Drosophila melanogaster: one gene and its partner. The protein of the gene in region 1 interacts with the protein of each later gene in a biochemical or structural test. Each region holds a gene or a part of one and is shown on either strand. Other genes may lie near its edges.

The links. The genes of interacting proteins can lie anywhere in the genome.
Region 2: of the proteins of tacc (region 1) and aurA, one has a biochemical effect on the other in vitro, tested with the Drosophila melanogaster proteins (one study listed by BioGRID).

The regions. Positions count from the first base shown.
Region 1 is NT_033777.3:4,743,379-4,748,324, reverse strand, and holds the start of tacc (transforming acidic coiled-coil protein), read left to right. Parts: upstream 1-1,910; 5' UTR 1,911-2,150; coding exon 2,151-2,528; intron 2,529-3,659; coding exon 3,660-3,861; intron 3,862-4,142; coding exon 4,143-4,946.
Region 2 is NT_033777.3:11,961,419-11,965,379, forward strand, and holds aurA (aurora A), read left to right. Parts: upstream 1-1,705; 5' UTR 1,706-1,873; coding exon 1,874-1,987; intron 1,988-2,051; coding exon 2,052-2,352; intron 2,353-2,414; coding exon 2,415-3,235; 3' UTR 3,236-3,408; downstream 3,409-3,961. Other genes in the region: CG3281 (uncharacterized protein), read right to left, coding at 1-1,085, 1,139-1,294.

The sequences.
Region 1 (4,946 bases):
TCTTCCTTCTATATATTTGTCTCTTGAAATTTCCACTCTCCAGATGGTGCACTTTCCATTTAAAAATGCTAGTGTGTATCGCTATTATGCCAATAAATCAGTTGGCGGCTAACGGCTGCAAAATGTCAGTGCCTAATGCGGTTTACAGTCCAAAAAACGCCCATCTGAGGATTTAAGTTTGACTAAATGTCATTTAACTCCATCTTCCCTTTTGCCAACAAAAATGCTCATTATAAAGGATCTACAGATGGTTTCCACCCCTTTCCACATTTGCCTATTTTTAGATCAGTTTATAGTTGGCTCTTCCTCAATATTTGTTTTCTTTTATTTTCCTGAGTTCTATTGGATATTCGAATTGCAGCTTAAGGTTCAAATTCCACTTGTATTCTATTCTATTGTATTTATTGTGTTTTCTGAAATCAGTATACTCATTTGTGGCCACTATTTGGATTCCACTCAAGGCTTATATGCTTCAACAAACTACATTGGTTTTAAATTCACCCTGAGCCGGGAACCGTGTGATATCTTGTCACCTGTCGCGCGCTGCTTGGATAACGCTAGAGCCAACATCTAACTATTCCCCCCTCGTCAAGGCCCATCGTGTGGGATTCCGTTTCATTGCTTACATTTTCTCGCCAAACATGCAAAGTCAGCCGTTGGGCAATGTGGAGCTTGCAGATAGTGCGCCATGATGCGCAACAATGGCTGTGGGATTGCATGTCATCTGGGACCCACCAGGCCTCTACACTTGAAACAATGTGATGAGCCAAATCAACATATTTATTATTTTAGAGCACTCTACTTGCCTCTACTGGTATATCTTTAAGAGAAAGCATTTTGCAAATAAGACTGTTCTCCAAAAATCCTATGGAAAATGTGCAAAATAATTCTGTCATCAAAGCGTTGAATTTGCACCAAGTTCCTCCAGTTGATTTGCGAAGACAATATAAGCAGTCGGCGGTCGCCGTATTCTCGTATCCCATTTATTTATCCCCTTCTTTAAGTGTTTCGACTTATTTGCGGTGTCTTGCACTTTCACTGCTGCCTTTCAGTCTGAATTTCGTCTGAGGCCTGTATAGTTTTTCAGTTTTTCACTGCAGTTCAGTCAAAAAGGTTGTCAACTTGAGCCCGCTCTTTTGACATTATTATTTTATAAATGTTGCCCACGACCTCGACCGTTTCCAAAATGTATTTCATATATCTAAGAGAAGTGTGTTTAAATGGATCAAGTGTGTGTTGCCCTCTAGCTTCATAAAACCCAATATATTTTCTCGAAATAGAAAAGGGTAACTATTCCAACCATAGAAAGGATAAGATTTCATCTTCAGAATCACCAGCCAAGTCTATCTGGCCACTAAGACTTATATTATTTATATGCTAATAAAATCTTTGAAGGGTATATTTCTCGTAGCTCCAAAAGCTGAGTAATGGGTAGTCGAGAAAAACGACTGAGTTCTCTGTTGTTTTGATTTAATTTTCATTAGGAATATTTGTGCTTAAAAGTTCAGAGTATAACTTATCGGAACTATTTCAAGACTAAGGATGTGCTAAATAAATGTTTTAAGTTGGTATGAAATCCATAATGTGTAATATACAAAGGTGTCTCTAGCCGCCGTCTCACATGTGAAAACATATGGCAGTATTATAAATGGAAGAGAGGACCGTGCTGATAAGGGGAGAACGCCATGTGGGCTAAAACGATCCAAACATGAAGACATACGAAAACATCCGGATCGTTATGTGGATGCCATTCAAACTATTCGTTCTCTCACTCGGTCTGTCGATCCCCCGCACTCTCGCCGTGCTCTAAGTATTTGTGCATGTGTGACGCTGAGCAGAGCAAAGCAAATTGAAAACGAAAATATTTTTAAATTGATTTTAAAGGCAGACATGATCGGGAGGCAGTGAGAACCGCACGCGACAACGGGCCGTGAGAAACCCGGAGGTATTACCCAATATAATGGAAGCGGAAAATCACAGTAAAGATTTTACCGAGTAGGCGAGCCCAAATCTGTGTCACAACAAAAACCACAAAAAAAAAAAAAAAAAAAAAACACTAAAGACCAAACTAAGGAACTCTATAGATCCATTATTTTTTGGAGCCAAGTGAACCGTATCGCGTCTCAGGAGTTAATCGTGCGTAGAGCGGCATGGATTTCCTCGCGAATATCATCAAAAGACCCAAAAGCATCGCCACCACTGGCATCAGCACCAATCAGCCAACGACAATGGAAGCCCTAGAAGCTGCTAGTCCCGCTGATGAATGTTCTACACCAAGGGATAAGGGAGGAGTTACACTTGTATCCGCGCACCTGGACTCGTTACTAGAGTCCGCCTCTGAGGAGCTGCAACGACTGGAGGGAAAGCACTGTGAACTATTTATGGAATCCATCTCGAACCCACTCCCAGCCCCCGAGGACAGCACTGATAGTAGAGAAGAAATACAGAAATTTCTAAGCGAAATAAACTTCAATCTGAACCAAGTGAGTGCTAACGAAATGGAGCACTTGCAAGCCATGAGTGGCGAGGTATGTCTGAAAGAATTAGGACTATCTTTTTATGTGCATCCCTGGGGGGGGGGGGGGGGGTGTTCTAGTATTAGGCAAACTGCATAAATCTACACATTGGAATTTTTTTGTAATGTCCCAATGTGTTTTGCCGATTGCATATATAGTATTTATGCGGTTCCACTTGGTTTTGTCACCTTATTGCGTTGCAGAAAATATTATTTTAAATAGGGTTGTATCTAGCCATTAGCTTGGGCTAATATTCCGCAGGAATCTGCTTCCCATTACCACTCAAATTTGAGCCCATTGTCAAAAAATTAAAATTAAAATACTTATCAATAAAATCGAAACGGAGAAATTGGTCTAATGCCAGAATTTTCCTAATTTTTAGTGTCTCGCTCATAAGCCGGTCACCACTCGCCTTATTCTTCTGACTTTAACCTTGCAGCACCCATTATACTGCAATGCGCTCTAATTAAATTCCGCGTGTAGAACGATGCTCCCAAACCTAAATAGACATTAAACATGGCGGCCGGCCGCATTGAATCCGCGGCATGTTTATTTCGCACTGCACAAAAGCTGACGTCGACCCAGTTCCACGTCCATCTCCCCACCTTTTGCTCCTCAATCCGTTTCGTTGCCACCCTCCCAAACATATGCCATATACCCGATTTTTACGTCTTGGCTGGCTTTTTAATTAATGACATTTGCTTTTGTTGACTGACCGACTGCGACAAACATTTGAAATGTATGTCTTTTTTAAGCGTGAATTGAAGGCATCTGTATCATATGGGCTACATTAGATGAGATTGAAGTTTTTCAAATGAAGATCATAATTTCATAATAATGTATTCTTTTGTATATGATAATAACTAAAAATGGGGGTCCTATGCCTTTGTATAATTTCTTGGCAATGGGAAAATACGGGAAAAGTCATCCCAAATGCGATTTATTTATGCCAACTGTGGTGGGGCTCTTGCCTTTTTGTGTGTCAAAAATTCTTAATTAAATGACCAACCAGCTGCTACTCGTGATCATCTTTAAAACCCCATTCCCAACATCGGTTGTTCACGGTTTAAAACTATTCGGATCATGACCGCGATGTACATCTTGATAACTATATTCTTAAATTTTGCATCTCTTGTTTGGCAGCTGAGTCCGTTGGCGGTGAAGCCCAGTCCCAAGCCAACGAGCATGGATCAACAGAAGGCAATGGCGGCAGCTCTGGGGCATCAGACGGCGGTACCCGGTGGACTTAAGCCAGAAGACGACCTCGTTCCAAAGTTTGGAGGTCTTCCCGAGTTCGATGAGACGCAAATACCGGAACTAGCTCCTTTAAGTACCGATATGGATAGTGAGTAAATCTTGTTTGTGTAACCCAGAAATCTCTTAAGGTAGAAAAATTATATTGATGTACAAAAGAATTCCATACGAAATCCGCCAGAAGAGCGAAGTAATTTCTTCTATTTCAATACCGTCATTTATACAAAGGAAAGGGCCAGCTGGGGAAAATAAATCATTTCCAAGTTTATGTATAAATTTCTCGTTGTATTAATTATATAAATAAATTTCTTATATGTATTTAATTATTATTAAAACGAATTGATTAATATATCGCATTCATTCCTCCCTTAGCTCAACTGAAATCCAACCATTCGGATTCGGATGTTTTTGTCGAGTGTTTATCGCTTCATAGCGAGCGCTACACCGGAGATCGATCGGAGTTAGAGGCATATTCAAGTGCCCTTAATGATGTTTTGGAGCAGCAGCTGTCCATGACCTCAGTTTCTACACTGGGAGCTGAATTCAACGATCCTTTGGCAGTTAGCCAGCACAACAACGTCAGCTATGAAGCCATGGATGTGGATGACCTAAACGAAACCATGGAAATGTTAAAGGACGTCTTGAATGCGGAAGACCGTCATCTTATGCAAACGCATATTCTCAGCGTAACCCAGTCAAAACCAGAGAATAATTTTGTGCACTATCATCCAAATCAGGAGCAAAATAGGGTTGAACTAGACCAGTTAGCCAAACACTCTAAACCCAATAGTGATGCAAAGGAATCAGAATCATTGGTAGAATCAGTACTGTCTGAGGAGTCTGGTACACAATCCTTTGAGCCGAAGCTCACCTTATCTGCCTTGGACTCTACGAAAGACTTAGCTAAGCATCAAGAGGAAATGCAAACAAATACAAAAGATATATTTCAGAAAGAGAAGCACCACCCGGTCAGTAGTGCTCAGGTGAAGGACGCACAAAATCCTAAGGAGCCTGAAAAGGCCTTAAATCTCAAAGAGGCTTCTTCAGAACTGTCCACAAAATCAGCAAAATCTCTAGAATACCCTAATCAAGAGAAGCAATTTTCGGTGGCAGTAGAATCAATGGAGAGACCATGCACTGCCATCAGCCTTGAGCAAAATGCATCCCCAGCTATGG
Region 2 (3,961 bases), 7.2 Mb from region 1:
AAGCTCTCGCCGCACACTCCACACTGATATGGTCGCTCGCCCGTGTGGCGCCGCATATGGATCTTAAGGTCGTTGGACTGCACAAAGCTCTTGCTGCACATTTTGCAGGAGTACGGCCTTTGACCCGTGTGCAATCGCATGTGTCGCGCCAGCTTGTTCTGCGAAATAAACTTCTTGGAGCAGATCTTGCACTCACTGGGACGCTCGCCGGTGTGCTGACGCATGTGAAGACTAAGATCTTGGCTGCGCGGAAAGGCCTTCTCGCATTGATCGCACTTGTACGGATTATCGCCCGTATGTCGCCGAATGTGGATGGTAAGGCTAGATACGGGAAAGCTCAGGCCACAGTGCGGACAGTCTCGCCGCTTAGCTATGCGTTTTCGGGCGGAATTGTCCGTCGTTTCTTCGGGTTCCAATGCGATTGCGTCGGGATGGAATGCCTGCATGTGTCGCCGGAGTGTGTCCTGACGCTTGAATGTCCGCGGACAGTGCTCACAGGTTAGCAGACCGGTGCCGCAGCTCTCGTTGGCCAGCTTCATGGCGGCCACGTCCGCTGTCAGTTTGTGGGCTTGGGAAAAATGACGAGTCAGAGATTCACTTTTGGCAAAGACACGCGGACAGACGGCGCACTTGTAGATGAAGTTCGCCGAATGGTTCAAACGACTGCCCAGCTGGGAAGGTCGCGACAATTCTCTGTTTTCTATTTCATCTGGCCGAGGCTTCAGCTGAAAGGAGTCTTCAGGCTCATCATCACGATCCTCGCTCGCATAGAGTGGCTCTTCGCCCACATCTGAAGTAAAAGCTGAACAGTCTTGGTCTCCATACTTCTCCTCCATTTCCACGTGCTGTTCGGCAAAAGACGTGGACAGGTATTGTGCCATACTGACCACATCGTCTTGGTCTATAAGCTCCACGACATCCACATGAACTTCATCCGGCTTGGCAGCAACTTCCTGTTGCTCGAAGAGATTCTGTAAAGTTTCATGGGCGTTTTCCACTTCGACGATGAACTCATAGGCGCCGATCAGCCGGCGGGCGCAATTTTGACACAGATGCATAGGCAGATTTGGGTCCGTCCATGTCCACTGGAAATAATTGAACTTATTTTTCGAAGTTTCTTGAAATTGTAGCTCTTTACCTTCAATTTGGAAACTGCCTCCAACAACTGCCAGAGCTCCAACTTAAGGTCGTTGTATTTGATTTCATCGTGGACATACAGATTGGTCTCGTGCGTCTCCAGGCAGACGCGGCAAGTCTGCGAGCTTATATTTACGTGGATCTCCGGTGTGTCCATGATTCGGCATCATATCATAAACGACGAATTCCAATAAAAACTTTGCTTGTTAATAACACCTGATGTTCAGAGATGCCCGATAAAATCACAGCTGTTCTGGTTCACAGTCACCAGAAATAAAAAATATTGGAATTGAGATGTACACAATTAACGATATTTATAAATATCTTCCGATAGTCTATCGTCCGGTTAATCAAAATAAAGTGCGACGAATTAACATATTTTCAAAATTAAGACGCTTTGATAGATGTATTTGTATAGAGATAGAAATTAAGGTTAAAATAACATAAATGCCAAAGTTTAGAGCACTATTCAATAATTCTCTTGATTTCAAATTGAAATAATACACAATATAACATTTTCTAACACTACAAAGTCACGATATTCTTCAACCAACCGATAGTATCGCACACTTGCCATTCGCCTCATCACGCACACGCCCGCTTCACAATTCAAACGAACGGCATTTTATTTTCACAGGATCCCGGGAGTCGTGAATGTTTTACCCAATATCGGCTTTCATTGTTAACTGACCAAAATTGTAATCTGTTCTGTTAGTTGTCGAGTGCCTGTGCCGTCATGTCCCATCCGTCTGACCATGTGCTGCGTCCCAAGGAAAATGCTCCGCACAGAATGCCAGAAAAATCAGCTGCAGTGCACAATATGCAAAAGAACTTGCTATTGGGAAAGAAGGTACGTTAAGTGGTAAATCTCTGGAGTGCAGCTGAAACTCTTATTTGGTACCATTGTGATACAGCCCAACAGCGAGAATATGGCTCCAGCTAGCAAACCCTTGCCAGGATCCTCTGGCGCTTTGATCAGGAAGCCAGGCCTAGGAGGCTCCAATTCCATAGCTTCCTCCGAAGGAAACAACTTCCAAAAACCCATGGTGCCGTCCGTGAAGAAGACCACATCAGAGTTTGCTGCTCCGGCTCCAGTAGCACCTATCAAGAAGCCTGAGTCACTTTCCAAGCAGAAACCCACTGCTGCGAGCTCTGAATCCTCCAAGGAACTGGGTGCGGCCAGCAGCTCCGCTGAAAAAGAGAAAACCAAGACTGGTGGGTTAATGGTTCAGCTGTAATCTTTTGCAATTACCAAACTCAATTGTAATTTTCTGCAGAAACCCAGCCCCAGAAGCCGAAGAAGACCTGGGAGCTCAACAACTTTGATATTGGTCGCCTGCTGGGACGGGGCAAGTTTGGCAACGTTTATTTGGCGCGGGAAAAGGAATCCCAGTTCGTGGTGGCCCTAAAAGTGCTCTTTAAGCGCCAGATTGGCGAGTCCAATGTGGAGCACCAGGTGCGTCGTGAGATCGAGATACAATCGCACCTACGTCATCCGCATATCCTGCGTCTGTATGCCTACTTTCACGACGACGTGCGCATATATCTGATCTTGGAGTATGCGCCACAAGGAACGCTTTTCAACGCCTTGCAGGCACAGCCGATGAAACGTTTCGATGAACGCCAGTCGGCCACCTATATTCAGGCGTTGTGCTCGGCGCTGCTCTATCTGCATGAGCGGGACATCATACACAGGGACATCAAGCCGGAGAACTTGCTGCTCGGGCACAAGGGCGTCCTGAAGATCGCCGACTTCGGTTGGTCCGTGCACGAGCCGAACTCCATGCGCATGACACTGTGCGGCACTGTCGACTACTTGCCACCCGAAATGGTTCAGGGCAAGCCGCACACGAAAAACGTGGATCTATGGAGCCTGGGTGTGCTCTGCTTTGAGCTGCTAGTGGGCCACGCTCCCTTCTACTCGAAGAACTATGACGAGACCTACAAGAAGATTCTCAAGGTGGACTACAAACTGCCGGAGCACATTTCCAAGGCAGCATCCCATCTCATTTCCAAGCTGCTGGTCCTTAATCCGCAGCACCGCCTACCGCTGGATCAGGTGATGGTGCATCCTTGGATCCTGGCGCACACGCAGTGAACACATTCTTGTTTAATTTTCAGTTAATTCCTTTTAATTACATTTTTAGTTTAGGGCTCCCCGCGTAATTTAATTATGGCATCATAAATTTTCATTTATATAGATACGAGAAATTAACATTTATCAATTAAGTTTATTATTATCATTAGCAATAAAGTTTGTGTGTGTTTTCGAATGCTAGCGTACACTCCTATCTTATGTAGCTACCTAATCTCTAGCGAAATGGGTTGACGGAATTGCAAATGCAGAAGTGAAACGTGTAGGCAGCGACAAAAAAAACAGGCAACATTGCCCAAATGCAGCGCAGCGTTTATTTTTATCACAGAAAACCAAGTATATAGAGTATATTTGTTAATGAAACTTGTAAGGATTTAGCAACGATTTCGATTACTGCTAATTCGGGACTAATAATTTGCAAGGCAGAACTGAAACAGTCTTCATTTTAAATCTGTCTGCATTTGTTCGTAGCTCCATCTCAGAGTATTGTATTTCCTGCGAGTTTTAATTTCTTGTTCTTCATTTGCTATTAACGAAATGATGGTAGTCATGACGTTGAACTTAACTTACAAACTAAATAGCTTAGGGCGTGCTCAAGCCAGGATAGATTTTGATTTATAATCTTCAATTAACGTACAAATTTCAATGATCGATTTGCGACATTTCGTTATGATTAACCCTAGAATCTATGGCTTACCGAGCACGGCTTTAATATAAAGGGGTTTCTAA